Drosophila melanogaster: one gene and its partners. The protein of the gene in region 4 interacts with the protein of the main gene of each other region in a pairwise test. Each region holds a gene or a part of one and is shown on either strand. Other genes may lie near its edges. The genes, in order: CG42565, CG7173, CG13511 and CG13731.

What was found.
Region 1: the proteins of CG13731 (region 4) and CG42565 interact in a two-hybrid assay, tested with the Drosophila melanogaster proteins (one large-scale study listed by BioGRID).
Region 2: the proteins of CG13731 (region 4) and CG7173 interact in a two-hybrid assay, tested with the Drosophila melanogaster proteins (one large-scale study listed by BioGRID).
Region 3: the proteins of CG13731 (region 4) and CG13511 interact in a two-hybrid assay, tested with the Drosophila melanogaster proteins (one large-scale study listed by BioGRID).

Annotation. Positions count from the first base shown.
Region 1 is NT_033778.4:22,655,915-22,661,889, forward strand, and holds CG42565 (uncharacterized protein), read left to right. Parts: upstream 1-1,986; 5' UTR 1,987-2,074; coding exon of another isoform or gene 2,075-2,361; intron 2,362-3,008; coding exon of another isoform or gene 3,009-3,111; 5' UTR 3,112-3,797; coding exon of another isoform or gene 3,798-4,063; intron 4,064-4,121; coding exon of another isoform or gene 4,122-4,224; 5' UTR 4,225-4,636; coding exon 4,637-4,947; intron 4,948-5,154; coding exon 5,155-5,251; 3' UTR 5,252-5,475; downstream 5,476-5,975. Other genes in the region: CG43326 (uncharacterized protein), read right to left, coding at 1-159; CG43325 (uncharacterized protein), read right to left, coding at 439-550, 703-1,064; CG13510 (uncharacterized protein), read left to right, coding at 2,075-2,361, 3,009-3,111; CG13511 (uncharacterized protein), read left to right, coding at 3,798-4,063, 4,122-4,224.
Region 2 is NT_037436.4:21,553,356-21,560,840, forward strand, and holds CG7173 (uncharacterized protein), read right to left. Parts: upstream 4,872-7,485; 5' UTR 4,406-4,871; coding exon 2,936-4,405; intron 2,587-2,935; coding exon 2,397-2,586; intron 2,331-2,396; coding exon 2,296-2,330; 3' UTR 2,018-2,295; downstream 1-2,017. Other genes in the region: CapaR (capability receptor), read right to left, coding at 5,826-5,951, 6,440-6,541, 6,621-6,780, 6,835-6,979, 7,043-7,117, 7,174-7,347.
Region 3 is NT_033778.4:22,656,121-22,664,319, reverse strand, and holds CG13511 (uncharacterized protein), read right to left. Parts: upstream 6,420-8,199; 5' UTR 6,332-6,419; coding exon of another isoform or gene 6,045-6,331; intron 5,398-6,044; coding exon of another isoform or gene 5,295-5,397; 5' UTR 4,609-5,294; coding exon 4,343-4,608; intron 4,285-4,342; coding exon 4,182-4,284; 3' UTR 3,770-4,181; coding exon of another isoform or gene 3,459-3,769; intron 3,252-3,458; coding exon of another isoform or gene 3,155-3,251; 3' UTR 2,931-3,154; downstream 1-2,930. Other genes in the region: CG4250 (uncharacterized protein), read right to left, coding at 43-145, 199-331, 407-575; CG42565 (uncharacterized protein), read right to left, coding at 3,155-3,251, 3,459-3,769; CG13510 (uncharacterized protein), read right to left, coding at 5,295-5,397, 6,045-6,331; CG43325 (uncharacterized protein), read left to right, coding at 7,342-7,703, 7,856-7,967.
Region 4 is NT_037436.4:17,382,025-17,392,105, forward strand, and holds CG13731 (uncharacterized protein), read right to left. Parts: upstream 6,933-10,081; 5' UTR 6,724-6,932; coding exon 6,721-6,723; intron 4,439-6,720; coding exon 4,370-4,438; intron 4,311-4,369; coding exon 2,004-4,310; 3' UTR 1,612-2,003; downstream 1-1,611. Other genes in the region: CG13728 (uncharacterized protein), read right to left, coding at 1-296, 496-609.

The DNA of each region.
Region 1 (5,975 bases), on a different chromosome or scaffold from region 4:
CCGCACCTGGTAGCTGCTGGGTCCGATGCTGAAGAATCGCACCTGGGGTTTGCTAGGGCGCTCCTCCAGCGTGACAGTGGTGGCCGCCGACTGGCTATCCCTGTCCCCCTCCTGGAGATCCACCTCCAGATCCGCATCCAAGTCGTTTCCCCGAGACATTGCGACTGGCCGGCGTCAAGTGCTAAACATTTTGGCGAATCCCGAGGCAGTGAAATTCGAAAAAGAGATCTATCTGACCAAAGAGATCTAATTGAAGAGAAACCACTGAGAGAATCATGCAGCAATCAACAATTTTTTGGCACTCGGCTCTTCAGTCTCAGCAGCGCTCATCACTCGCCGCAAGGTCAACAAAAAGTGCTTAAAAACTAAACAAAACAAACAATTATAAGCGGAGCACCCACTCCGTTTGCCCCAACCCACGACCCCCATCCCTTCATCTCACTGTCTTTTCCATGCCCCCAAGAGGTAACCACACTTGCCGCAGATGACCTTGCAATCGTTGGTGGAGCGCCTCGGGCAGCAGGGATAGATGGGCAGCAGGGCAAAGCAGCTGGAAATGGATAAGGAAATAATCTGAATTAGAAATATAAATACTTCCGATCTTTGTTATTATCCTAATAGCCCTATACTACGATTAAATAATCTTATTTATATTCCATCCTAAGAATTTACTTTAAAGAAATGTCCTGGCCTTGCACTCACCACATGGTAAGGAGTCGCTCCAGGCGGACTCCCTGCTCGTGCAATCGCTCGTGGCACTCCGGACAGTACATCTGGCGGAGGCAACTAATGTTGGTGGCAGCGGGCGGCGGAGGTGATACCTTCTCGGCCAGTTGGCCTGTGGAGTTGCTCTTCCGGCAGAAGTAGGTATCCGGCTCGGAGTCCTCGGCATAGCCGTAGGGATAGCCTCTGTGTGGGGGCGTGGCCAGGAGCAGCTGGTCCAAGGCCTGAGCCGACTTCTGCTTGACCTGGCCGCAGTTGGGGTTCAGGTTAATCTCCACCAGATCCGCTGCGAACTCCTCGTCGTCGGGAGCTTGAAGGTGGAACTTTAGCTGACGGCTCATGTTGTTGAACTGACTCGACTCGGGTTTTCTATTTGCCTATAAATTGGGTTATTTTACAATTGAAACATAAGAAACATAAGTCAAACAGCTATCGCTTGGCGAGGGGGATTTATTATTATATTTTTTGGGCTGAGGGGGGAGTTAGACAAACCAGTTGTTCATCTGTTTGTCAAGCCCCCGTATTTGCCTAACACTATTTTCATGGTTGCGATGTTAACGGCTGCACTTGAACGTAGATCCCATGAGGAAAGCTTCCACAAAGCTGCCGGCGAGTGGGTGGTAAATGGAGCTTTTTCTATAAAAAATATACACAGTTATCTTAACCCATTGAAGATCGAAGTCTGTTTTTATTTTGACTTGAATAATTAAGACATTTCATAAGGTTTTTCAGGAAATAGTATCAAGCACGGAAAATATATATATTATTTTTAATCACAAATTAAGCAAGTTACACATTAATATCCAATATCCAATAAATAATTAAAAAAAATAAAGGCTTCACAAATGGAATGATGATGCTTCAACTGGCAAAGAATCATATCTACATATGTACATATATATAAACCGGTCACGCATTTGGTAAATTACAAAAATATTATATTATGGCGAGAGCACTCGAGTCGACAACCTGTGTTTGTTTATACTCTCTCCTCGCAAAATACACGTACTAAATGTTACATATGTATATTTTGGCCTTATTCATTGCCTTTATATGCAATAAAGGTGTTATCAAACAAGTGACTCATCTGTCGCCTATTCGGAGGAGAAGCATCGCTGTAGCTCACTAAATCAAGTGCACAATAAAAGAGGTATCCGATTATTAGTTCGACAGAAACCCCACTTGTATGGTAGCTATCACCTCTCGACGATAAGATAGTAGCCAATCGTTGAGGTATTGCGGGAGCCACAGTTTAAGTTCGTTCCTCAGTGCAACGCCAGCCAGCAAAGCGATCGGTTCAGTTCGGCCGGAAATCCAGAGTCTGCATCAAGAAGAAACATAATCCGAAACTATGGACAGCAAGCAGCCTCCACCGTACAGTGAACAGTCCGGATACACTCCCGCACAAACCTATCAGCCCGGTGGCCCCACCCAGCCACCACTGTACCCACCGATGCCGCAGCCACCGCAGTCCTCAACGGTGATCATCCAGACCACCACAACCTCCAACCTGGTGCCCATCGGCAGTGGACCCACCCGCATCCGCTGTCCCTCCTGTCACGCCGAAGTACTGACCACCGTGAAGTCCACTCCTTCCGGCAGGACGCACTGCTGGGCCCTCATCCTGTGCCTGTTCATGTGAGTCTTATAGTCACTAGTCATCTGATCTGAAGTCACTGCTTGCCACCATATGTATGTATGTATGTTGATTGGTCTCAGGAGCTTTGGGCCAACGAAAGTATCTTAGGGGGGACTTAGTGCTTCATTAATCCAGTCAAATGACCTTTTTATAAAATTGCGCAAAATGGAGTAAACCATTTTTAAAAGCAATACAAATCGGATATGTTGCCTATTAAATTCAGTAATATACATAGATGATATGATATCCTATAGATGATATCCTAACAATCTAGATATGTTTTCGTATCGCCCAAGCAGAAATGTTCTATAACCATTTTATTGCCAACTCGTTACAATAGCTCGGTTAAATGTTAAAAAGCTACGCCCATGAACCACTTGCGGCCCCTTATCGCTTGGAAAAAACAATAGGTTTCTACAGGTATTGCGACTGTGTGTACTGGTAATATGTGAAAACATTGTTATCTCAACTGGAACTGGAGTTGAGTCAGATAACGAATCCGAGTGGAAAGACGGGGTGAAAGCAAGCAAACTGACTGATTACGGCCTGTAGACGTCGTAAAGGCCAATTCGGAATTAGTGCTCTGACTAATAGTTTAATTCCCCGAACTTATCTAATCGATTCGTTTTCCACTCTATCCACACAGCTGCTGGCCGTGCGTATGCCTACCTTACTGCATGGACTCCTGCCAGAATGCCAACCACTACTGCCCCAACTGCAGCGCCTACATCGGCACCTACGAGAACTAACTAACTAACGCCTATTTATGCATACAAACGTATATACCTATAGAGAACCCTAAGCACTAGCGTCATAACCGAGAAAAATTGAACTGTAAATACACATGTACGAACGCCACACATTAAACTCATGAGACTCACACAGGAAACAGAAATGCGACAAGATATCTTGGGACAAGGCACTCTTTCCGCTAAATGGATTATGAAGTAATTTAATATTTTCAGAAATGTCTATGATAATGTTGACATTATTTAGTATTTTCCACTACATTTTGTACTGGTACTAAACAATTTCGATCGATCATTACGAGAAACCAACGCCAACATTTTAATGACCATTTTAAAACAATCTTTTTACTTTTTACTATCGCTTAAAAACCGTAATCAGTAAAATGGATCATAAATATCATAAATAGCTAAGACTATATCAATTGTTGTCTAGGAAACATAAACCCTTCTGGCACCTACTCAAGCCAACAACTGGAAATGGCCAAATGGCACAGAGCTACTGGAACCGAATGTCAATCGATTAGGTACTGCACTGGCCGACTCCTCTTGTACCCCTCCATATCGTCATAGTCATAGTAGGTTTCACCTAAAAAGTACTTGTCGATTAGTCAGAAAAGATAACGATTGCGATAGAGCAATGTTGTCATTAAATGGCGGGCTATTTCAGTGCATGCCCCGCCGCAAACATGAGCAGCACATGGATGGGCAGAGCTCCAGAACCGGCCGACACGGAAATGGTGACCGTAACCACGCAGCCAAACTATGGGGTGGTGGTGACCCAGATACCCGTCTACACCCTGAACGGAGTGGGGCCGGGCGCACATCCACTGGCTGTGGGCTGCAAGCCGATGAGGGTGAGGTGTCCGTCCTGCAGGGGCGAGGTCACCACCAGTCTGGCCACGTCCCCCACCCGCAAGACCCACATGTGCGCTCTGACCTTGTATATCTGCTGGTGAGTGGGGCGTCAGGATACCACCGGGCTTACTAACTTTGCTAACCTGATTCTCCAGCTGCTGGCCCTTCATCTGCCTTCCCTACTTCATCAACTACTGCAAGAGTGTCCAGCACTACTGTCCCAACTGTGGATGCCACATTGGGAGCTATAGCATTTGATCAAGTGCTGTGTCTCCGCACTGCCAAAAATGCCTTCCATGTCAAGACTTAATCAAGATTAGCCATATATGTATACAGATACATAAAATAATAACGTTTTAAATTTAAGTTCTTTTTGTTAATGACGGATGGTTTCTACTACTCTCACTGCACATATGAAGTAATCTTTTCTGGTCCATAATTTCCTCACCTAGTGTGCCAGTAGATAGATTTTATATTCGTATTAGGATAAATACCCAGAATATGAGGAAAGCGAATCAATTGAATACCGATACCGATAAGGCAGTTCTGAGTTTAATGAAACTGTCATCGATATACATATACGGAAGCTTTCAGTATTATATCAGTGCTCGTTCGCAGCTGTAAGCAACTGGTTGATATTTTTAGTGTGATTTGAAGAGTATAGAAAAGCATGCGTTGCTACAAGCGCGTAGACTCCCCGCCGCCCTACTCGGATCCATTCGCCACCGCTCCTCCAGCGGAGGACGTCATGCAGCAGAACCTGGCGTCGCCCGCACATCCCAATCCGGTGATACCCGTGATGGCCCAAACCATGCCGGTGTTGCAGCCCGTAAGCGTGATGCATCACCAGACGACAGTGCTGGTGGACAATACCCGCCAGGGAACGATCTGTCCCCACTGCAACGCTCGGATTCGCCTTCGCGTGGAGCACCATCCTACCGGATCAACTTACTGTATGGCGGCGTTGCTCTGCCTATTCCTGTAAGTAGATCGCATTTATGGTTGCAAGTATAGCAACAAAGGTTTGTACATACATAATGTGTATGTAAGCAAACGGAAAAAGAAATGTTTTTACTAGTCTGCTATATCTGTGGCCGCAATTGTTTTGCTTCTTCCTGGACAAGCTATGAGAAATTGCTGATCGTGCCTTATAAGCTATATACTCTATTTCCCATCTCTATCCACCAGATGCTGGCCCTGCGTCTGCGCCCCTTGCTGCTGCAACTGTTGCTACAAGACCTCCCAGTACTGTCCCAACTGCAACTCCTGCTTGGGTTCGTTTTGAAGACGCAGCGAAAACACTCGCCGATTTCATATCATTTCATTTTATATATATGTATATATATATACATAACCAACTATACATACATATATGTATGTATGTTCATATCTCCTTATGTATCGACGGCGTCAATGTGGTGTCTTCATCACTTAACATACATAAAAATATGTTTGCTTAGTGAGCAAAATAAGCTGACAGCGAAAAAATAAACAAATAGATTTTGAAGCGAATGGAATTTTCTTTAATTTCTGTTTCTGGGTATCTGGCTACATTGTTGCTGCAGACAACTAGATTTGCAGAAAAAATAATGTGAAACTTAATTGTTCATACGTTTTTTTTTTTTGTTTTTGTGTACTTTTTGGCGGTCTTTTCCCGAAACTTTTTCGTAGCACAACTCTTTTGTGTCCAGCAATAAATGTTGATATGAAACTGTTTTGAACCGGTAAAATGTTGCTGGGACGAACCGGCATGTTGGCACAGTTTAAATTGATGCTAAGATGCTTCAAGATTACTGTTCATGCTATTAAATGAAATCACTGAAGTTCTTTGCATTATAATTGAATATTTAGTAAAATATTTGAATTTCTGCTAAATGTTTAGTTCTTAAGAAATGGAATAAAAGGATTTTAATTTAACTCAGCCTAGGGATACGCTGTAATCAATTTTAAGGATGTATATAAATATCACTTCCCAGTTAGGCAACATAATGTTGCTAACGGAAATACTT
Region 2 (7,485 bases), 4.2 Mb from region 4:
GGGTAGAGAAGAAGCTGGCTCGATAGGTGATGACTGGATTGAAGTGGTGCTGCTAGTGCTCGTGTGTGCAGAAAGTGTGCCCTGCTTGCAAGTGGGCTTTCTGTTTAGTGTGTCTTTTAGTTTTGATGTCGGGTTCGGCTTTTGCCTAGAGGAGGCAGATCTATTAAACGAACGGTGTCCCGACTTTTGTATATTAGCTCCCTGCACAGTTTGCTCCTCGCTAGAAATTGAGGTATTCCTAAAAGAATGATAGAAGTAGTTGATTAGATTCTATAGACTCACAGGTACAACAGTCGAGTTTTCCACAGTTCTCAGTAAACTTCCTTCCAAGAACATTTTATAAACATTCGATAAACGAAAAAACGGTTTCAGTTTACGTGTTGTTTATCTAGTAAGTTTTGCTTAAAACAGAGACGTTGAAGTAACAATTCCAGTTGAAGCATATTTAAAAATTAGTATCCTAGGGAAACAAATCCTTTGTAGGATACTTGGTCAGTTTAACACACTACATACAAGGATATTTTAAACCAGCTTTTACGTTATTTAGGCATATATGAAACAACGATTGTTACTTCAATCATTTTTTGTTATGTGCCCTGATTTAAATAAAAACAATATTTAAATAAATAGAGATATTCCCTAAATGTTTTGGCAATGACTCCAACTCACCTTTGAGGTTGCGTGGTGCAGGAGGTAGTACCATCTTCGCTGATGGCGCTTCCCTTCCGAGCACGGTTCGCAGGTACGACCTCTTGTTGTCGTACGAAGTCGCAGAGGGTTTGTCCAATTTTGCAAGATTTTTAGCAGCAGACCACCACGTTTAATCTGAAGCGAGAGGCAAGGCGGTGAATGAGTACATGAAGGCATGGAGGAATGGAGCAAAGGTTAAATTCCGGCACTATTGACAGGAGGAACTGGCTTGGACTGGGGCAGAGACATGGGCAGGGGCAGGAGCAGGGAAAGGTGACCATTCCCACACCCACTTATGTTCGTTGCTTGGTGCCGACGTCTGAAATATCGCTTACAGCTGGGTGGAGGAGGTAGTGGCGCCGTCTCCAGGAGGCCGAGGTGTGCGCTTTCCATGAATCACTAGTTTCGATTGCACTACGTTCGTCACTGGCTCTGCCGTTCCACTCTACTCTGTTCTGTTCTGTCGCGAGGGATATGTGCGTATGTGCGGTACGCTGGCTATACATACATATTTATGTACATTTGATTCGGGACAGGAAGCATATGCAGCGACTATGATGTCATGTTTCCACGCCGCTCCTTCCGGAAGTCCTTCGCTCGACGGGATCGTGCTCGAGTTGGGGATTTACGACCGGGACGGGGTCTAGGGCTCGCACTGCGACTGTCGGATCGTTCGCATCGAGGATTTCAATTTGTGATTGTGGTGTTCAAAGGCAATTCGAGCTAGCAAGCTTTCATATTACGGCACGGGGGATTGGTAAGTCTTTCGGGAGATAGTGTCACCTCCACAAGGGGGGTCAATTGGATTGAACGCGTGCGAGAGTCAGCGGAAAATTGAAGTTATTTCGCCAGAAGTTCCCTTTACTTTCACAAAAAATTTTACAAAGCAACTGGGTTTACTTGTGTTCGTGATCTATCGATAGCGCATATTGTTACACAAGTGTTATCGGCGGTGATGCCACCCAAGCTACCAGCTTGCCTAATATATATGTTACGCATTAGCAGAGATGTTACCTGGCCTCTGTTAACTTGAACAGTAGACCGTTACTCTTCGAACGAGTTATAACATTGTTAAGAATACTGTATAACCTTTAAGCATTAAGCCACTTTTTTAAATTTCATTTTGCCTGCCATAATGAAACAGATTACAAACAGATTACAGCTGTAAAAACCACACCTAACAAAGTCTTAATAAATTCCAAACCCTTATACAGGTTTCCCTTATTCAGCAAGAAGATGCTCCTGTCTCTTTTGTTTTGCCCCTAAGGCAAAAAGCCCAGATAGTCTCTTATTTTATATATATAAATATGATTTTCGATAATGTTTTCTTGCAATTCGTTAATTTATTTATTATAACTAACTTCTCTGAATGATTTTTGAGATACATACAAATATATTGTAGAACTTAAATATACATGCACTAATAGTTTATAAGTTATCACTTTAATGAATAGGAAAGCTATAAGTGCACGATATTTTTATACGTGAACAACAAATCAAAATCACTTTTTACAAAACCCTACATTTTACCATTTCCACTAAATTTGCATATTTTGTAATCGCTAGAATAAATTAAATTAAAACAGTTTTTTATTTTATTTTAGTTTAAGAGCAAGATCCTTTACTCTTAATCGTCACACCTGGAATAGAACATGTTGGTTTAAAATATATACAGACAATACATATATTGGGTATGAAACTCTTACTTATATTGAGGCATGACGAATAGCACTGCAGTTGGGTTTCGCCCGTGTACATGTATCCGTCGGATCCACAGATTATTTCATCGTTTTCATCGTACACATTAGCACATATCTTCTCGCAGTAGTTTTCCGTGTCCTTTGGATCGTCAGGAGTAGCTGAACTCGTCACAGTGGGCACCTTTGGAATATCTTGCTGAAATGGGCAAATTTAAAATTAAAAATGTAAGAGCTAAATTCACAGCAAAAAGAATTTGATCTTATTAGGAAAAACTGTTACTGGTATTTGATGAGTCGTATAATTTTTGTAGCTTGAGTTGATAGAATCAACTATTTTTTTAAGTTTATTTTTTCAAAGAAGAGTACTATTTTAAACCCGTAAACGATTTGATCGAAATTAAGTACTCACTAAATCGCGTAAAAATCATTATAAAATGCCTTAAAGGTTGGAAGTGCTTGTTTTTGTGGCCACTTTTTGGCCAACAAATATGCTAGCTTATATAAGCTACTTGCGGTTTTCACATTTATTGAGAAACAGAACCAACCTGCTTTCCACTTTCAGTGTCGGAACTATCCTCTGGGTCATCGGTGTATTCCTTAATGGGCTTGCTGAGTTCAATCTTCGGGGCAGGAGATTTCGCGGGCTCGCGGGGAGCTTGGGCCACGGTTTCGTAGTAGTACTGATTGGCTTGCGGGGCTTGGGTGTACTTCATCGATCCCCTTATGGCATCTTGCTCGGTGAACTCGAATCGCAGAGGCTCCGGGGTAAAGCTCTTGTGGGTCTTGGCGAGGTGCTGGCTCTTCGACGGCGATTGAGTGGTGGTCTGGACCGCCATGGGAGTAGAGACCACATGCTTAACGGCTTTGTTGCCGTCGGACTTGACAACGAAGACATCCTGACCTGCCTGGTAACTGCCGCGAACCACTGCGGAATTCGCAGGAGCGGGATCTTGCTGGTAGAACAAGTCGGACACTTGTATGGGCTCATTGTAACTGGAGGAGACTGAGTTGTCTAGGCCAGCAGTTTTGTAGGGAACATGTTGCTGCAGCGCTTGTTGCTGCTGCGGCTGCTGGTGCTGCGGTTGCTGATGCTGCTGCTGTTGTTGCTGATACAGTTGCTGCTGCTGCTGCTGTCTGTATTGCTGTGGATATTGGTGGAGCAGCTTCTGCTGGTCCCGCTCGGCGTCCAGTTTCTTGAAGTCAGGATCCCTCTTGGGCAGGAAGTACTCGTTGGTGCTCATGAATTGCAGGTAGTCCTGCGCCTCCCTGGACTCCTTTGGTGGTGGCACTGCCTGGCGAAAGTTTACCGCCTGCTTCGCAGGTATATCGGTATCCTCGTAGACAGAGTAGCTATTTGGATCCTGGGGAAACTGGCTGTTTTGGAGAGCAGTTTGCTGGGTAGGGACAACACTGAAACTGGGAGATCCCTGCTGTCCGAAGAGCTTGGGATAGTGCAGGTACTGGGAGGCCTGGACGGGAATCGCATGCTGTTGGATGGGTGCGTACACTGGCTTGGTGTCCTTCATGATCACATTGCCATTGAAGCGCGGCGAGGACTTGAAGTTCTGAATGTACTGCTCGGAGACATACTGGAGTGGGAACTGGTTTTTGCCCACATCTAGCACCGGAGTGTCCTTTACGTGGGCGAATCTGCCCTGCTGACTCTGGTCGAACTGGTACCTCCTGAGCTGGTCGTTCGCAGGAAAGTTCCCGAACTGCTCGCGACGCATGATGTGCTGCGCAGTGGCAGGTTGCGGCGACCGCAAGAACTTGTTGGAGCCACCAGAAAGCATGGCCAGGTTATCCGATCGCGATCTTATCCGGGGCAGTTGTCCGGGACCCGGCGGCCGATTGTGCTTGATATGGTGCTGGGCCAGGGGCTGGTTCTCACTCAGAAACTGCCTTATGCGCGCTTGTCTCATATCATTCTCACCGCACTGCACTTGGTTGATTAGGACCACTATCAGAACTAGGGCCTCCAAAATGGGGGCCAACTTAAGCGGACTCTGAGTCATTTTTAAAGCTCGTCTTCGTTCCACGACGGTCTATTGGTATTTGACATTTGTCAGTTCCGCGGCCAAAAGCAAAAAAGTTTCTTTCGAATTAACCACGCACACATGCGAAGCTTCTTTTCCATTCGACGATCCACGATCGCGCAGACTTGATCTCACTTTCTTTGTTATCCGGCCAGTCGTTTAAATAAAAATGGAACGCCTCGCGGCACTGCAGCCAAATACAATGTGGTGGCCTCGTCTCTGGGCCCAGATGCAGCTATCTATGTATATCTATTTAAAACCGACTTGGTTCGCCATATCAGCTTAAGATGGGCACTTTTTCTAGAGCCTGTGGTTCCAACGCCGCAGCACCGTTAATCAATGGAGGGTCTCGAGCATCCACATCCATCCGATTACTTTCTTCTTGAATTTCGGCGGTGCCGTCGGTTGGAAAGCAACTGAGTGGCAAATGGAACGTTTCTGAACTAGCTGTGCTGGAATTCGGAGTGTCGGAATGGCCACTAAACCAGTTTTGAGATGCTGCCTCTGCTGCCATAGAGGAGCTGCTGTGGATGTGGATGTGGATGTCGATGTCGATGTCGATGTTTTTGGATTTGGATGTGCATGTGGTGTCCACCGAGAGATCCCCGAGAGATCATATCGCGACACGAAGATGGAGCACTCGAGCCTCGGGGCACCGTGACATCGCTCCAGATGCGACAGAACCATTGGCCAGGTATGCTCATTAATCTGGCTATCTTGAGTGCTGGTGAAAGTAAATCGGAGATAAGATCTTTTGGAGACCTATGCGTAATTGGTTCGGAGTTCCTCAAACATCAGAGATTAATTTGCTTATACAGAATGCCAGATGGCTGGATGTCTGAGACTTGTGAATGCAGGGTTATTTACCTCATGTAAAAGTGAAAATGTTTTTAATTATAGATACTGGGATAATGGGTACAACTTTCGCTTTTGTCGTCAATTTGGCACTGCTTTTTCGAGAGAACAAGCCATGAAAACGATAATTTGGATCATTGTTATGCAAATCGCTCGAAACTGTAATCGTTCGTTAATGTATTCATTCATAAAAGCCCTGTTATTCCATAAAGTTTCAAATATCTCAGATTCTTTTGTGGCCAGTAAGTTTGTGAAAATGGAACTGATTACCTTTTTATGTATAAATAAATATTTATAAGGACCTAACACAATTAAAAAAAAACAACTCGGTAGCAATAAAACTCAGTTGGTTTATTTAGTAATATTATGAGATGTTGTAGAAATAAATAAATCTCCTTTGTGCGGGGGCACATTTGAATTTAGACAGACTCCCAGTCATATCACTAAATTCCCAATACGCAATTCTTAGCTCTTAAATTAGTTCTACAAAAGGTTGTTCTCGACGTCCTTGGCTTAAACTACAAATGTTGAAATGGCCTCGTGCTTAAATACAAGTCTCCTCGTTCTCGATCCAAATATCGTTCTCAACTTTGGGCTCCTCGCAAACTGTGTGGCTGTTTTCCAGCACGATGACAATGTCCGTGGTGCTCAGGACCGTGGAGTCCGCATTCTGGAAGTGCAAGGTCCAAAGTTAATATACACACGTGGAATACAAGCAGGTGAAAAGTAATGTAGTATTTATTCGCCCTGTATTTTACTATTTCACAAACTCAAACAATCACATACGAGCACTTTAATTCGCTCAACAGGCAATGTAAGGAAAAGTTATGTTCCCATGGGTATTTGTGTAAACAAAGCGAAATCAAGTTAAGCGGGGATGGAGCCGGAATACTAAGCAACTTCAGCATTGGGAATTACAAGGATACACAAATTGACGCAGAGTGAAATAACTTTTTAATTTGATTTATTCGCCCAGGTATCTTTGAGTTCCGAGAGTCCGGCGACACAGAAAAGTTTGGAAATAACTCTGGGATTTCCAGTTCAAAAGAATCTGCGCATCTGTAATAACTAAATTTATGCTAATTTACTACTATATCATACTCTAGGACACTATGCTATACTTCAATGAGTATTTATGATTTTGGTCTGTTTAATTACTTTTGGTAGCGGGAGGCTGTAGGTTTTCTTTATCAGCACCCTATTTGCAGATGAGGAGTCCGTTTCGAACTTATTTGGATGCTGGCTGGCTCTGACGTGAACCTATGGGGTAATTTGAGATAGAATAACCAAATTAGGTTAGGTTGGATTAAAATGTGCTTTCAATAACTTAATAACTTACAGAATGAACGCGGTCGTAGGCGGAGCTTTCCCGGAAACTGGAGTGATCCCTCGCAAATCCGCTGTTGTAATAGGCGCCCACGGCTTTTCCGCAGAGGAGTTCCCTGAACGCAACCCTGTAGCGACGTGACATCACACTGTACACTATTGGATTTACGGTGCTGTCAAGCCAGTTGAATCAGATAAATAAGTTAATAGAATTTGGGTTCATTTACCATGAAACGTAGTACGCAAATCCCGCAATCGAGAAGAGTGCCTCGTTTATGTCCAAATAGTTATCCATGTTCTTGGCATACAGGAATATGAGTCTTTGCAGGTGGAACGGGAACCAGCACACGAAAAACGTAATCACCACAGCAGCTATACTGATTAAACGGGGACTTTATTGATGGATTCTGTTGGGATTGATTGGGAAAAGCTCACCCAACATGCGAATAACCGTCTTCTTTCTCATTTGGGAGTTTCTCGTTTCCCTGTTGTTGGTGCCTTGTTGAACACCTGGAATACATCCCTGAAGTCGGATCTTTTGGGGTCAATAAAAGCCAGGTACTTGCCCAATTTTTGGTTCGTTCGAGATCGAATCTTGGCTCCCATTCGTCCGTAGAGCAAAATGATGAGTATCATCGGAATGACAAAGAAAATGCAAAAGGATACTTCGAACACGGGAATTTCGTTAACAATCTTGGGCGACATGGAACAGAATGCCGACTCCTCAATGCGGGAATGATCTGAAAAGCGCAACGAATGCCATTTATACCTGTTCATGTTATTTGGATATTATTCAAAGAATATACTTCAACCATTCATGGCTGTTGGATGGTGAAGTTCAGGTCGCTCGCAAAATTAAAGTCCATTTCAATTGATTT
Region 3 (8,199 bases), on a different chromosome or scaffold from region 4:
GTGGGATCTATCCCTGTAATATTTGGTGTTGAGATAGCACTTCTAGTTCTTGTAGGTGCCCACGTAGGCTCCACAGCTGGTGCAGGTGTGTTTGGCCGACTGGCAGGAGTCGGTGCAGTACGGAATGCAGCAGCAGCAAATGCCCCTGAAAATGGCCATTAGTCCTGCGGGCAGGTGGAGCAAACGGGCTGCACTTACCCCAGCATGCAGATGAGTAGGGCCAACAGGTGGGTCTTGGTGCTGGGCTCGAACTCCACCTTCGTCTCCCTGCGGACGCCGCAGCTCGGACAAGTGGCAACGGATGGACATTGGCCCAGGACATTGGGTGGAGCTGAAAGAGGCACGATTGGATTTCGTATAATATGCGATATTATATTTTATGTTTGAATTGCACAGAAGAATTGACCATTATTTCCGATTGATTCATAGTTCTCTGTATTCTCACCCTGCAATATCACTCCCTGTCCCTGATGGAGCTGAGGATAGACCTGCTGCGGTGCGCTATCATAACTGGGCGGTGCCTGGAAACCCGGAGCCTGAGGCTGCATATTCTCGTATTGAAAGTTCTTCTCCATTCTAATTATTCCGACCGATGTGTGCTACGCGTTTGAATTGCCGACAGCGACTGAAACCGCAGAGAGCTCCTCCAACATTGCTCGGCGAACTTTCGAGTTGCGGCGCGATGCGAATTCTATATAGCCCTACTATGTCGGATGGCTTGCTAAGCGATTTCCGTTAAATATTATGTGGCTATCAGAATAAGGGCTTTTACATGAGTAAGTGTTCTTTTTTTTTTGCAGGATGAAAAGCTTTAGTAAGAAATTGCTCAGCCATGATGAATTAATTAATATCAAAACTTACCAATAAAACAGAAATGTTAGCACTTAGTAGGGTATTCCATTGTCAGGTAAACAAACCAGTAGCTTTTACCCTTCCGAAATGGTCCTTCCAGCTATGCTATTAGCACGTATATAACAACAATTTGCATATTTATTGAAAACATAAGAAATACTCAACTCTGCTCAAGAATTGCGTTGTCTCTAAAACAAATCAACCCCCAGGTAAAATCCACTCGTTTCTTCCTTGAACCCTTTTATTGGTGTGCTGAAGAATACATATGCCGGCACTACAATGATTTGTTTTGTTATCAAAATAGTGCGTAGTAATAAATGTGAGAGAGTTAAAAATAGATCAAGTGGGGATAAGTAATGGGGGCTGCATTTCGGCACGGCTGCTGGCTGCAGTCCACGACAAAAAAAAAAAAACAACTTCCGGCGGAAGTTGCTCAGCGCTCGTAGGTGCCAATGTAGGCGTTGCAAGATGGACAGTGGTGGTCGGAGTTCCGGGCGCATTGAGTGCAGTACAGGCAGCAAGCAGGGCCAAAGGCTGCACGAAAGAGATCACTCAATGAGAATGCACCCAGAATGTTAAGAAATCAATATCGAACATGGCTTACAAGGTAAGGCACATAATCAATGCTATCAGGTGAGTCTTGGTGGTGGCTTTCGGCTCCACACGAGTGGTAACCTGTTGACGGCAACTGGGGCAGACCACGATGCACGGTTCCGGGCCAACGGAAGTGGACATTTCGATGGCGGAGCTGCAGAAAGAAAGCACAGGAAACTCTAATAACTCTCATATTGATTGCAGCGCAGACCTTGAAAACTTGAATACGTCGCGTGCCGCTGGTGCATGAGCATTAAATTGGCTGGTTAATGGGGATTTTAATTGCACACCCGCCATGCAAAACAAGCTGTAATCCGCCTTATCTCCCGTCGATGGCACCACGGTGCTGCGCAATCCCTCCTGCCGCCGTGAGGTCATCCTCGTGGGCCACGGAATCTCTTGTGCCATGTGGCAAGCTTCGTGCCGACGCCGTCATCGCACAACCGCGTGTGTCTGAGCCCCGCTCAACCCCGATTCCATCCATCATCTTTGCTCGTCGTTTGGTGCAACTTGCTTGCTCGGTCTGGTCCTATCCAAAATCAACACAATCTATTTATGTATGTTCTCACTAGCGCAAACCACCCAGCACAGTATCCTTATTTAACAGCGGGTGTGTCCGTCGCCAGTGATTAACATTCCCCCCGAAATCCTACTGTCGTCCTGTATGTCTTTGCTGAGTTCTCCCCCAAGCAAAAGTAAATTTTTTGGGGAGCGGCAAAGCAGCGGTAAACATCTAAACAACCAGATATTACCCAATTAGACCTGACTATAATAGTCCGTTGCTCATGTTTGACCCAATCCTAGGCTTGCATAATATATCTCTCCCGTCATACTTACAATCTGTATGGGTGGGTACGTTGTCAAAATAAATAAAGTAGAATTCCGATTTCACAGAGAGACAAAAAGTTAATGCGCACTGTTTGGGCTGCGAAAGTGTTGTGCGGTCAGAAGTTTAGGGCGCGAAGCGGGACACTACACTTCCAAAAGTATTTCCGTTAGCAACATTATGTTGCCTAACTGGGAAGTGATATTTATATACATCCTTAAAATTGATTACAGCGTATCCCTAGGCTGAGTTAAATTAAAATCCTTTTATTCCATTTCTTAAGAACTAAACATTTAGCAGAAATTCAAATATTTTACTAAATATTCAATTATAATGCAAAGAACTTCAGTGATTTCATTTAATAGCATGAACAGTAATCTTGAAGCATCTTAGCATCAATTTAAACTGTGCCAACATGCCGGTTCGTCCCAGCAACATTTTACCGGTTCAAAACAGTTTCATATCAACATTTATTGCTGGACACAAAAGAGTTGTGCTACGAAAAAGTTTCGGGAAAAGACCGCCAAAAAGTACACAAAAACAAAAAAAAAAAACGTATGAACAATTAAGTTTCACATTATTTTTTCTGCAAATCTAGTTGTCTGCAGCAACAATGTAGCCAGATACCCAGAAACAGAAATTAAAGAAAATTCCATTCGCTTCAAAATCTATTTGTTTATTTTTTCGCTGTCAGCTTATTTTGCTCACTAAGCAAACATATTTTTATGTATGTTAAGTGATGAAGACACCACATTGACGCCGTCGATACATAAGGAGATATGAACATACATACATATATGTATGTATAGTTGGTTATGTATATATATATACATATATATAAAATGAAATGATATGAAATCGGCGAGTGTTTTCGCTGCGTCTTCAAAACGAACCCAAGCAGGAGTTGCAGTTGGGACAGTACTGGGAGGTCTTGTAGCAACAGTTGCAGCAGCAAGGGGCGCAGACGCAGGGCCAGCATCTGGTGGATAGAGATGGGAAATAGAGTATATAGCTTATAAGGCACGATCAGCAATTTCTCATAGCTTGTCCAGGAAGAAGCAAAACAATTGCGGCCACAGATATAGCAGACTAGTAAAAACATTTCTTTTTCCGTTTGCTTACATACACATTATGTATGTACAAACCTTTGTTGCTATACTTGCAACCATAAATGCGATCTACTTACAGGAATAGGCAGAGCAACGCCGCCATACAGTAAGTTGATCCGGTAGGATGGTGCTCCACGCGAAGGCGAATCCGAGCGTTGCAGTGGGGACAGATCGTTCCCTGGCGGGTATTGTCCACCAGCACTGTCGTCTGGTGATGCATCACGCTTACGGGCTGCAACACCGGCATGGTTTGGGCCATCACGGGTATCACCGGATTGGGATGTGCGGGCGACGCCAGGTTCTGCTGCATGACGTCCTCCGCTGGAGGAGCGGTGGCGAATGGATCCGAGTAGGGCGGCGGGGAGTCTACGCGCTTGTAGCAACGCATGCTTTTCTATACTCTTCAAATCACACTAAAAATATCAACCAGTTGCTTACAGCTGCGAACGAGCACTGATATAATACTGAAAGCTTCCGTATATGTATATCGATGACAGTTTCATTAAACTCAGAACTGCCTTATCGGTATCGGTATTCAATTGATTCGCTTTCCTCATATTCTGGGTATTTATCCTAATACGAATATAAAATCTATCTACTGGCACACTAGGTGAGGAAATTATGGACCAGAAAAGATTACTTCATATGTGCAGTGAGAGTAGTAGAAACCATCCGTCATTAACAAAAAGAACTTAAATTTAAAACGTTATTATTTTATGTATCTGTATACATATATGGCTAATCTTGATTAAGTCTTGACATGGAAGGCATTTTTGGCAGTGCGGAGACACAGCACTTGATCAAATGCTATAGCTCCCAATGTGGCATCCACAGTTGGGACAGTAGTGCTGGACACTCTTGCAGTAGTTGATGAAGTAGGGAAGGCAGATGAAGGGCCAGCAGCTGGAGAATCAGGTTAGCAAAGTTAGTAAGCCCGGTGGTATCCTGACGCCCCACTCACCAGCAGATATACAAGGTCAGAGCGCACATGTGGGTCTTGCGGGTGGGGGACGTGGCCAGACTGGTGGTGACCTCGCCCCTGCAGGACGGACACCTCACCCTCATCGGCTTGCAGCCCACAGCCAGTGGATGTGCGCCCGGCCCCACTCCGTTCAGGGTGTAGACGGGTATCTGGGTCACCACCACCCCATAGTTTGGCTGCGTGGTTACGGTCACCATTTCCGTGTCGGCCGGTTCTGGAGCTCTGCCCATCCATGTGCTGCTCATGTTTGCGGCGGGGCATGCACTGAAATAGCCCGCCATTTAATGACAACATTGCTCTATCGCAATCGTTATCTTTTCTGACTAATCGACAAGTACTTTTTAGGTGAAACCTACTATGACTATGACGATATGGAGGGGTACAAGAGGAGTCGGCCAGTGCAGTACCTAATCGATTGACATTCGGTTCCAGTAGCTCTGTGCCATTTGGCCATTTCCAGTTGTTGGCTTGAGTAGGTGCCAGAAGGGTTTATGTTTCCTAGACAACAATTGATATAGTCTTAGCTATTTATGATATTTATGATCCATTTTACTGATTACGGTTTTTAAGCGATAGTAAAAAGTAAAAAGATTGTTTTAAAATGGTCATTAAAATGTTGGCGTTGGTTTCTCGTAATGATCGATCGAAATTGTTTAGTACCAGTACAAAATGTAGTGGAAAATACTAAATAATGTCAACATTATCATAGACATTTCTGAAAATATTAAATTACTTCATAATCCATTTAGCGGAAAGAGTGCCTTGTCCCAAGATATCTTGTCGCATTTCTGTTTCCTGTGTGAGTCTCATGAGTTTAATGTGTGGCGTTCGTACATGTGTATTTACAGTTCAATTTTTCTCGGTTATGACGCTAGTGCTTAGGGTTCTCTATAGGTATATACGTTTGTATGCATAAATAGGCGTTAGTTAGTTAGTTCTCGTAGGTGCCGATGTAGGCGCTGCAGTTGGGGCAGTAGTGGTTGGCATTCTGGCAGGAGTCCATGCAGTAAGGTAGGCATACGCACGGCCAGCAGCTGTGTGGATAGAGTGGAAAACGAATCGATTAGATAAGTTCGGGGAATTAAACTATTAGTCAGAGCACTAATTCCGAATTGGCCTTTACGACGTCTACAGGCCGTAATCAGTCAGTTTGCTTGCTTTCACCCCGTCTTTCCACTCGGATTCGTTATCTGACTCAACTCCAGTTCCAGTTGAGATAACAATGTTTTCACATATTACCAGTACACACAGTCGCAATACCTGTAGAAACCTATTGTTTTTTCCAAGCGATAAGGGGCCGCAAGTGGTTCATGGGCGTAGCTTTTTAACATTTAACCGAGCTATTGTAACGAGTTGGCAATAAAATGGTTATAGAACATTTCTGCTTGGGCGATACGAAAACATATCTAGATTGTTAGGATATCATCTATAGGATATCATATCATCTATGTATATTACTGAATTTAATAGGCAACATATCCGATTTGTATTGCTTTTAAAAATGGTTTACTCCATTTTGCGCAATTTTATAAAAAGGTCATTTGACTGGATTAATGAAGCACTAAGTCCCCCCTAAGATACTTTCGTTGGCCCAAAGCTCCTGAGACCAATCAACATACATACATACATATGGTGGCAAGCAGTGACTTCAGATCAGATGACTAGTGACTATAAGACTCACATGAACAGGCACAGGATGAGGGCCCAGCAGTGCGTCCTGCCGGAAGGAGTGGACTTCACGGTGGTCAGTACTTCGGCGTGACAGGAGGGACAGCGGATGCGGGTGGGTCCACTGCCGATGGGCACCAGGTTGGAGGTTGTGGTGGTCTGGATGATCACCGTTGAGGACTGCGGTGGCTGCGGCATCGGTGGGTACAGTGGTGGCTGGGTGGGGCCACCGGGCTGATAGGTTTGTGCGGGAGTGTATCCGGACTGTTCACTGTACGGTGGAGGCTGCTTGCTGTCCATAGTTTCGGATTATGTTTCTTCTTGATGCAGACTCTGGATTTCCGGCCGAACTGAACCGATCGCTTTGCTGGCTGGCGTTGCACTGAGGAACGAACTTAAACTGTGGCTCCCGCAATACCTCAACGATTGGCTACTATCTTATCGTCGAGAGGTGATAGCTACCATACAAGTGGGGTTTCTGTCGAACTAATAATCGGATACCTCTTTTATTGTGCACTTGATTTAGTGAGCTACAGCGATGCTTCTCCTCCGAATAGGCGACAGATGAGTCACTTGTTTGATAACACCTTTATTGCATATAAAGGCAATGAATAAGGCCAAAATATACATATGTAACATTTAGTACGTGTATTTTGCGAGGAGAGAGTATAAACAAACACAGGTTGTCGACTCGAGTGCTCTCGCCATAATATAATATTTTTGTAATTTACCAAATGCGTGACCGGTTTATATATATGTACATATGTAGATATGATTCTTTGCCAGTTGAAGCATCATCATTCCATTTGTGAAGCCTTTATTTTTTTTAATTATTTATTGGATATTGGATATTAATGTGTAACTTGCTTAATTTGTGATTAAAAATAATATATATATTTTCCGTGCTTGATACTATTTCCTGAAAAACCTTATGAAATGTCTTAATTATTCAAGTCAAAATAAAAACAGACTTCGATCTTCAATGGGTTAAGATAACTGTGTATATTTTTTATAGAAAAAGCTCCATTTACCACCCACTCGCCGGCAGCTTTGTGGAAGCTTTCCTCATGGGATCTACGTTCAAGTGCAGCCGTTAACATCGCAACCATGAAAATAGTGTTAGGCAAATACGGGGGCTTGACAAACAGATGAACAACTGGTTTGTCTAACTCCCCCCTCAGCCCAAAAAATATAATAATAAATCCCCCTCGCCAAGCGATAGCTGTTTGACTTATGTTTCTTATGTTTCAATTGTAAAATAACCCAATTTATAGGCAAATAGAAAACCCGAGTCGAGTCAGTTCAACAACATGAGCCGTCAGCTAAAGTTCCACCTTCAAGCTCCCGACGACGAGGAGTTCGCAGCGGATCTGGTGGAGATTAACCTGAACCCCAACTGCGGCCAGGTCAAGCAGAAGTCGGCTCAGGCCTTGGACCAGCTGCTCCTGGCCACGCCCCCACACAGAGGCTATCCCTACGGCTATGCCGAGGACTCCGAGCCGGATACCTACTTCTGCCGGAAGAGCAACTCCACAGGCCAACTGGCCGAGAAGGTATCACCTCCGCCGCCCGCTGCCACCAACATTAGTTGCCTCCGCCAGATGTACTGTCCGGAGTGCCACGAGCGATTGCACGAGCAGGGAGTCCGCCTGGAGCGACTCCTTACCATGTGGTGAGTGCAAGGCCAGGACATTTCTTTAAAGTAAATTCTTAGGATGGAATATAAATAAGATTATTTAATCGTAGTATAGGGCTATTAGGATAATAACAAAGATCGGAAGTATTTATATTTCTAATTCAGATTATTTCCTTATCCATTTCCAGCTGCTTTGCCCTGCTGCCCATCTATCCCTGCTGCCCGAGGCGCTCCACCAACGATTGCAAGGTCATCTGCGGCAAGTGTGGTTACCTCTTGGGGGCATGGAAAAGACAGTGAGATGAAGGGATGGGGGTCGTGGGTTGGGGCAAACGGAGTGGGTGCTCCGCTTATAATTGTTTGTTTTGTTTAGTTTTTAAGCACTTTTTGTTGACCTTGCGGCGAGTGATGAGCGCTGCTGAGACTGAAGAGCCGAGTGCCAAAAAATTGTTGATTGCTGCATGATTCTCTCAGTGGTTTCTCTTCAATTAGATCTCTTTGGTCAGATAGATCTCTTTTTCGAATTTCACTG
Region 4 (10,081 bases):
CGCTCCAATAAGTAGGCGGTTTCCCCAGCAGCTCCCTGCGTCGCCTGCATCTGTTGCAGATGCAGCTGCAGTTGCTGTTGCTGCTGGCGCAGGTACTGTTGCTGCTGCTCGTGCTGCAGTTGCTGCAGCTTGGCCCGCATCTTCTCGATGTCGCTGTCGCTGTCCGAGGGCTCGATCTCCGTGGTGGCCTGGGATGGCTCGTCTGCTGAGGACTCAATGTCGTTCAGAGATTGCTGCTGCTGGTGCTGCTGATAAAGAGTGGCTGCGGAGGCGACCTTCACTACCATGAGAGACATCTGCGGGTACACACAAAATGAAATCAAAGATAAGAGATAATTGGGAGATGTACAATTACGGCCCCCTTTCCTCATGTCTAGATTTTCGCGTAATTGTTACTCAAAATATGTAAACAACAAACAAAAATTGTCCAATTACACTGTACTGCGTAATAAAAAAAAAACCCTTTTGTATAAGAGGTTCGAATCCTCAACTCACTATTGTGTACACCAGGATCAGGCCCATAATCCACCGCCTGCCTTTAGTCCAGCAAGGATCCAGTCGCGTTCGAGTGTCCCGTTGTCCTTGACCGACTGCCGACTGCATGAACATCTTTCCGGGATCTGCTGCTCGAACCACTCGGCTTGCCTATCGCTTGATGAATGTGGGCCTGAGCTTCTGCCTCATCGCGGATCGCAACGATGACTGATTGCAACTGGGAGCTGGCGGCGCCTAAAAAGCGTCGGTTATATCGGCCCAAGTGCAACAGCTTAATTAGAAAGTTTAATAGAGTTTGGCTGCGAAAGCAAAACAGCAAGCTACAGACAGATAAATAAATTAATTGCTCAGGCGAATTCGTGCTCCCAGGCAAGTGGAAAAGAAAGAGATATTAAAAAACGCATTGACCATGAAAATCTGAAGATAGCTGCGAAGTAACTAGAAATATCTTCGGGGCGTGATGAAACCGAAGTGGTTATGCACTCACGAAGGAGCTGACTAGCCATAGCTCTAATTTTGTATATAAGTGAAATACTTTTTAAAAAGGGAAATGATAACATTTAGTGATAATCAATAATTATATTAAAAAAATCGATTCAATATTTTAAAAGTCATAAGTTCAAATCACATTTTAACTATATCTCAAATTTGACATTTAATTATAACCTAAGGTTAAATTATTTCATATTTCATGAAAATATACATCGCTCATAGTAAACATACATGTATTTAAATACCTACTCATACGAACTTTTCAAACCTATTAACTAAGCTAACGTGTTTCACATCCATAACTTAAATTAGTAGAGACCAGAAGTGGAGGTCAAGGTTAACTGCCTAACCTGCACTTTGGGCGCTTTATGACTTGCAAGCAACGATCTCCTTTGCATAGTCGTTAAAACCGACTTTTAAGATAACTCCCAAAAGAGGAGGAACCCACGAGACCAACCAGACCACAAAATCTCCCGGACATGGCTTGATCCCATTTCCCGGTTAGGAGTGAAAAAGAAAATATGTTATTATTGTTTGGGTTTCAAACATCGCACATAACATAACAGGACCGCATGTAATTTCCGCTTCCCAAAAACAGATGAAAAAAATGCTTGTAAATATTCGAAAAACTTATTTTATTGTTCAGGTTTCAGCGATCCGAATTAAAAGTTTATTTAATCGTAATATAGAGCTATATAGTCTTGAGCTGGCGTCCGTCACAGACGACGGCCGCCCATCGATTGTAGAATAGTGATAGAACATAGCAAGAGTTGGATAGACTGTTAGCTGTACAATTGGGGCACTCATTTACAATGATCCCTAGCTGTATGAGTATGCGATTCATTAATTACAAAAATAAAATAAAAACAAACAAATGTCGTCCTTGCAGGCGCACCAGTGGCGCCCTCTAGCACCGCTGGCGCCGGATCGTGTAAAGTTAGACTGTACGAGAATTGACTAGATCAATCTAGCCCTAGACGATGGCCCTATCCCTAATCACATCTGGATCTCTAGATCTAGAAGTTGAAGGGGATGCTGGGCACGGGGTACTGGTAGCCCTGGTGCTTGGTGGGTGCGGGTGGGACGTAGACTGTGGTGCGCTGCGTAGGGGGTGGCACGTACACGGTGGTGCGCACTGTTGGTGGTGGCACGTACACGGTGGTCCTACGAGTGGGTGGTGGAGGAGGTCGGGTGGTGCGCACAACAGTGACGGGGGGCAGGTAGGTGGTTGGTGGCTTAGTTGGTGGCCGAGTGGGTGGTGGAGGAGGGCGGGTGGTGCGCACAGTTGGGGGAGGCAGGTAGGTGGTTGGTGGCTTAGTTGGGGGCCTCGTGGGTGGAAGAGTTGGCCGAGGAGTGGTACGAACGGTGGTGCGAACGGTGACCGGTGGCAGAGGCTTGTTGGTGGGTGGCAGGTAAGTAGGAGCCGGGGTTGTCAAACGACGAGTGGTGGGTGGGTAGGTTGGTGGCCGGGTTGGTGGGCGAGTTGGTGGTGGGGTGGCACGGGTGGTGCGCACGGTAACGGGAGGCAAGTAAGTGGTTGGTGGCTTAGTTGGTGGCCGAGTGGGTGGTGGAGGAGGGCGGGTGGTGCGCACAGTTGGGGGTGGCAGGTAAGTGGTTGGTGGGCGAGTTGGTGGCTTGGTAGGAGGCAGAGTTGGCCGAGGAGTGGTACGAACGGTGGTGCGAACGGTGACCGGTGGCAGAGGCTTGTTGGTGGGTGGCAGGTAAGTAGGAGCCGGGGTTGTTAAACGACGAGTGGTGGGTGGGTAGGTTGGTGGCCGGGTTGGTGGGCGAGTTGGTGGTGGGGTGGCACGGGTGGTGCGCACGGTAACGGGAGGCAAGTAAGTGGTTGGTGGCTTAGTTGGTGGACGAGTGGGTGGTGGAGGAGGGCGGGTGGTGCGCACACTTGGGGGTGGCAAGTAAGTGGTTGGTGGGCGAGTTGGTGGCTTGGTAGGAGGCAAAGTTGGACGAGGAGTGGTACGAACAGTTGTGCGCACGGTGACTGGTGGCAGTGGTTTGTTGGTGGGAGGCAGGTAGGTAGGAGCTGGAGTCGATGCACGGGTTGGTGGTGGTGGTGGCCTAGTTGGAGGAGGGGTTGGGGGGCGAGTTGGGGGACGAGTTGGTGGTGGGGTGGCACGGGTGGTGCGCACGGTAACGGGAGGCAAGTAAGTGGTTGGTGGCTTAGTTGGTGGACGAGTGGGTGGTGGAGGAGGGCGGGTGGTGCGCACAGTTGGGGGTGGCAGGTAAGTGGTTGGTGGGCGAGTTGGTGGCTTGGTAGGAGGCAAAGTTGGACGAGGAGTGGTACGAACGGTGGTGCGAACGGTGACCGGTGGCAGAGGCTTGTTGGTGGGTGGCAAGTAAGTAGGAGCCGGAGTGGTCAGACGACGAGTGGTCGGTGGGTAGGTTGGTGGCCGGGTTGGTGGGCGAGTTGGTGGGGGGGTGGCACGGGTGGTGCGCACGGTAACGGGAGGCAAGTAAGTGGTTGGTGGCTTAGTTGGTGGCCGAGTGGGTGGTGGAGGAGGGCGGGTGGTGCGCACAGTTGGGGGTGGCAGATAAGTGGTTGGTGGGCGAGTTGGTGGCTTGGTAGGAGGAGGAGTTGGACGAGGAGTGGTGCGAACAGTGGTGCGCACGGTGACTGGTGGCAGTGGTTTGTTGGTGGGAGGCAGGTAGGTAGGAGCTGGAGTCGATGCACGGGTCGGTGGTGGTGGTGGCCTCGTTGGTGGTGGTGTTGGACGACGAGTGGTCACTGGTGGCGGTGGCTTGTTGGTGGGTGGCAAGTAGGTTGCTGGAGGACGAGTGGTTGGTGGCTTAGTTGGGGGCCTCGTTGGTGGAGGAGTCCTTGGTGGTGGTGGTGGAGGAGGCAGGCGGGTGGTCACTGGTGGCAGTGGCTTGTTGGTGGGTGGCAGATAGGTTGCTGGAGGACGAGTGGTTGGTGGCCTAGTTGGCGGCCTCGTTGGTGGAGGAGTCCTTGGTGATGGTGGTGGAGGAGGCAGACGGGTGGTCACTGGTGGCAGTGGCTTGTTGGTGGGTGGCAGGTAGGTTGCCGGAGGACGAGTGGTTGGTGGCCTAGTTGGGGGCCTCGTTGGGGGAGGAGTCCTTGGTGGTGGTGGTGGTGGAGGAAGACGGGTGGTCACTGGTGGCAGTGGCTTGTTGGTGGGCGGCAGGTAGGTTGGTGGTGGCGTGGGAGGCCTGGTGGGTGGCCTGGTGGGTGGCCTAGTAGGAGGGCGCGTTGGCGGCCTTGTTGGCGGCTGTGTGGTGCGGACGGGCAGATCGAATGGAACATCGGGAGGGGGGTAGAAGTATCCCTCGGCGGCACGAGTCTTGCGCTGTAAAAAGTGGCTTGTAAGTTCCTGTTGGCAGGGAATCGTCAGATTTCCGCACTTACCTCATGGTTATCGGCCGATGCGGTGGCCACAGCCACAACGCAAAGCGCCAAGACGAACAGTGCACTTCTCTGTGGGGAAGGAACGAAAAACACAGCCTGATTAGTGATGCTACATATTGATGGACTTCGATGGTGTCGCCGTACAGAGGTGCTCAGACTAACGACTGGCTCTAACAACCTGATTGCGACTAATTGATCGCCTTCTAGGCTAATCGCCTATTCACGCTTCGTGGCAACTTGGTCGGGGTCGGAGGAGGCAAGGCAACTCCGCTGGCCTGCAGTTCAAAACTGTGGTAAAGTTCAGCCAACAAACAGCCAAGCTGGCGAATCGATTTACCATAATGCATTGAAAATCACCCGAAATGCTAACGCAGACATTCAACTTTGACGGGCATTAGCATCTCTAGGTCAGTCCCCTCCCCCGGAGCTATGTATGTAAATATCGCAGATTGACGCGATTGATACATAATGCCCATGCAAATGCGGAGCGACACAACAGATCCGAAGCTCAATGGGGATCCGAGGAAGTAGCCCCTGAATTATGGCTTCCGACGATGCTGTCAGCGGGTTTATTTGCATTTGTCGCTGGAGTTTCGGCAAGGTCATTGTTAGTTAATGAAAGTGCTCGTCGATGGCCGCAGATGGCCAGTGTCGATGAGCTCAATTAATTGGCTGACGGAGAATTTTCGGGGGCTATAAAAATAGCCGATTATGAAAGAAACCGGCCCGGATCCGGGCCCCAAACTCCAGACCAGTTCTAGCCATGATTATATAATAATCAGCAAAGACTGGCCATAAAACTAGTGAGAAAACGCAAAATTAGCATACGCATCTGGCATGCGAAGAATAGTAAGCCCCGGTTGTCATTTATAACCAAATCTGTTAGATTTTAAGCCATACCTCCAAAATCGACTGGGTCCAGTTTCATTTATTTTTTTTGTTGGTTTCTGATTGTTTGCTAATTTCAAAAATATTTGATCTTTGTATGTAAATGATTTTAAATAATTTATGCTAATGAACCTAAAATTTTTGCTGTTCTAACTTGTTTTAAATATCAGCCACAATTGAGCTGAGGATATCGAGAACCAAATCGGGTTTGACTTATGGCGGGTGGTGCTTAAAGGTTAGAAAGTGAAAGGACTTGGAGAGATATTTGCAGGGGCAAACCGATTCCCTCGACTGTTCAGTGAGCTAATTGGCAGCTAATTAATCTGATTCACACCGCCTCGAGGGCAGAGCCCCAATGCCAAGACTTTTGGGGCAACTTTATTTTTCCGAAACTGTGAGAGATTTGGGTGAATTAAAGTCTGGGGAAAAGATCAGTCGGCCCTTTAACAAATGAAATCTTCTTTGGCAACAATGATGGTGATTAATGGACGTCTATTCAATGGCAACGTCAAGAATCTAACTTAAGGCAACGTTTTTATGGCTATTTACCTAAATACGCCAATCGCAAATTGCGACTAGCAAATGTCAGAAGCAAAAGCGAAAATTATGGAAAAAAAAACAAGTTTTAATTTCATCTTCAGCCATGTCAATGCTGACATAGAAACTGCCGCCACATGGCAGAATGCACATGCAGCTGGTCCATCCTAATGACTTAATACGCAAATTGCGGATCGCGCCAAGGCGATTTGCTCTGTGGGCGGCCAACACGGCGTATGCGTAACATTGCACTCGATGCCACTTGCTCAATTTCTACATGGCTTAAATGTCAACCGCCATCTGGTCAACTCTTAACTCGCGATGATAGCCCGGGTCCAGAGCTGGACCCTCGACAAAATGTGAAATGCAAATAGATGGCGATTGAATTGGAACTGCAGTCGGTGTTGGCAATTTATTTGCTATTTCTTCTTGTTTGCGATGCTTGGGTATGCACAGAGAAAAATCGGAATGATTTTGAATGAACTTAAAGGCCCTATCTTATCTTATAACCCTTTTTTATGATTGTATCCCTATAAAATTGTAGAACATGCTTTTTTAGTATCCTTTTATACAAGTTCGGATTAATAAATTTCTGAAGATCTAGCGCTAAATAGCTGACACATTATTTTAACACAAGAAATGTTTTAATTTAAAATTAAAGTTTGAATACAAATATCATTGAAAATTCGTATTCGTTCAATTATTTTCTGTACTGTCACAAGCCCAAACTATAAAACGTGGAAACTCCCTAAATATTTTGGACCAACAAAACTGATACTTTTTATCTTCATCTGCACTGCTTTTCCTTTGCGAAATGTCTGTCTTGTTTGTCTTCACACCGAGGGACACTTGTTTCGTTATTTTGCACTTTGCACACGATCATTGTTCGTTTTGGTTTAGATTGGATTGGAACTGGGTTCGGTTACCATGGTGTACACTTTCGGACTGCTACAAACGGCAGTTGCGGTAATCCCGGGTGCGTAGGTAATCCTAGGCGGTGTGCGTGAATAATCCTTGCGGACGGTACTGTGAGGATCGGAAAGGAGAAGACGCGACCGATCGTATCAAATTCAATGGACGATTGAATTTGATCGATGCCAAGCTAAGTTGGTTTAACTTCTAGGTCGAGTGTGGAATACCAACTAAAGCATCAAAACTTGTAGATTTTCTATATATACTCGGACCCAGCATCTGCCCACTTGGGCAGCGGCGTCGGCAGAGGCATCTTCACCTGGGCGACAGCTGTTAACACACGGCCAAAAGCCGAAATCGAAAGCGTTTTGGCCAGATGAAGATGAGCCGAATACGAAGTCTCTGCCGCTGCTGATGCCTCAGCCTTCGTCGACAGCGACGCCGACAGCTGAATGCTGACCAGAAAGCCAACCAGTCTCGGTTGTTTGATGTTTGTGAGTTAACAGCCAGATAACATGGCTAAGACAAAAAGGCAGCCAAATTAAGGCCCAGCAATTATGGCAGAAGAGCAACTAAGCCAGACGCACCATCCGGCCATCCGACCATCCATCCACCAACGCCTGCTCTTGTTGGCATTTCTATTTAGCCAACTCCGATGGCTGGCAAATATGCTCGTACTTTTGGCAGAAGTCTGCGGCGAGTGTTAAACACGTTGTCGTGCAGCATTTAATTTGGTAAATGGGTCCGAGCCACCGAATTTCATCAATCGATGAGACAAGCCGAAGCTGGCTCGACGATCGAGAGCCAAGTCAAGGCTCCCAACGAAGCTTGCCAAGGCAAATAAGGCCGAGAAGATCAGGCGTTGGCTAATGGCACTTACCCCTCGGATCAGGCCTAAATGCAGTTGGAGTTGCGAGTCGATGTTGGAGTTGGAGTCGGCCAATTGAACATGAACCGGTTGACTTGGCCAAAAATGCGTGTGCCCGGGGGTCAGCAGATGGCAGCCGGAGTTGAATGTTAAGGTAGGCTCAGCTCGGCTCAGCTCATCTCTGACTCCGTGTCAGCCGAGTGACCTTTAAACGCACACTCGAAGATCTCGATGATCGGTGATCGGTGATCGGTGTTCAGTGCTGCATTCTTCGAGCGACTCCCAAACGGGTTTCGGCATTTGTCATCGCCTGCATTTCGCCAGTTTAATAACTAGAATTTATTTATTCGCAAGCAGTCACGTCTTGATTTTAATGAACCAATCAGAGTGACACCCACTGGCCACGCGCAGTCATGAGCGGGCCCAAAATAGATGTGACTTTGAACTCTTTCGGCCCAAAGGTGCGTGGTCACTGGGTAGTCAGGGTCTAGATAAAACGGCGGAACAACACCCAGAGGAAGTGCAGCCGAACGGAAGTCACCCCTGCGGCCATCAGACGCCACTTAGAGCCACATTAATTCTTGTCTTTTATTACATAATTGCTGGCTAACTTATTCGGGTCATAACTTGCTTCGCACATCTTCACAAAGGCAATGACACTTGGCGGCGACTGCTGACATTTCAAATTTGTCATTGCGGATAACTGAAGCGACTGAATTGTTTTTATTATTTTTTTCTTTTTTAGTTTTTGGCTCATCGAATGCTTCTTGACTGCCGGCTAGAGGAAAAGCCTTTTTTTGTCACCTCATCCGACATTGCAACAGACGATTATTCAACTTCCATACCGAGTGTCTGATAATTTGCTGCCTCAAATTTTGGACTCCACTGAAGGACGTTAGCGGTTTTCGAATCAAACAAGACCGTCGCTTGAGCCTGTTCTAAACCGCATTCTAGACAGGTTGCTATTTGGATAATTTAAAAATATATTTGTTAATCTAGGGAAGTTTCAGAGCTCGTATGTGAATTGTTATGAGCCTTTGTCTTCGGGCGCGGAAATCATAATATCTAGTTTTTCATTATGTTTTATCAGAATGGAGATCTTGTCTTGGCGCTATTTCCGAACATTATTTTGTATAAATGGGATTTTTAGTCATCAAAAACAAAACGAGAAGCGAGATAAACAAATCTTAAATCATAAAACTAACTACACTCTTTTTCTGGTAAATACAAAAAAAAAAATCGTCACAAAGAACCATATTCTGCAGATGCAAATTTTTTGTAACACAATTAAATATTATATAAATCATGTTGAAACTGCTGAGTAGATTAATTGTATTCTTAAATGCCTCGACGCTTGTTTTTAAAGACGTGTACCCATTCAGGTAGACAATTAATATTACTTATCTAATCCTAGAGCAAATTAAATACCCTCACGCACCGGCCATTAAAATTGAAATCAAGTCTCTTGGCCAGCAACTCGAAAAACTCAACCGCAAATCGGCTAATAAAAAGTGTTCGCCGAAGAATAGAAAACCGAGAAGAAGATGTCGCCACTGAATATTTATAAGAAGGCCGATGACTCTCTACCCACCCAGAAGATTCACGCATCTTTGAATGGATAAAGAAGCGTCTCAGAGTGCGTGGATATTCAAATTTCGCGGATCTTGTCTTGGAGAGAATCATATAAATTTCCGAGTCAAATGTCACGTCACCTGCGTCAGCGGTTGGCAGAGAAGGGAGCACCGAAAGATTGTTAATTGTGCTTATGATTTATGCAAATTTGTCCCAATACATAACGCGAATCTCTGGTAACTTCTACATGGCTTCACTCAAGGCGGACTATATTGTTTTCTGCTTAAGATTTATACTTATGTAAATCCGCCAGCTAAACAGACGCCCAACCCGACTAACTAGTTTGCCACATTGTTTCGCTTTTTTGTGCTCAGTTTGAAATTTGGATTCGAGTTCTGGTCTAGGAAGTGGAATTACCAAAGGTTTTATAAAAGGTTCGAACTGGATTTTACAACACAGCAACTTTGAAATGGAAAGTTCTTAGTAGGAAAAATTTTTACCAATTTTTAGAAGTTCCTGAAACCCAAGTCCAAAATATCTTTAAATTAGAGAGTTGGAAAGTCTTGATTAAAATATAATTGAGTCCTTAAATCCTTCTATAATAATACTCTTAAGTATGTATATACAACGAAATAGACGACAATTACGTATTAAACTGAACTATATTCGGGTTATTTCGCCCTTGAATAAAAGACATATTTCATTCATTGACTCAATTAATCAGGCTGACAAAATGTATTCGAATATCGATTAAGTCTTTTAACCATATCTAGATGGGCTGAATGCAAATAAATAAAGCCTGACTTATCGACCACTGATCTGTGAAACATTCACCTTAATTTGATTCGGATCGGCCAGAAAGACCTAATTAATTCTTTCAACAAGTTGTCGCTCGCCTTTGTTCAAACAATAAAAAGTACAGTTAGAAGAATTCA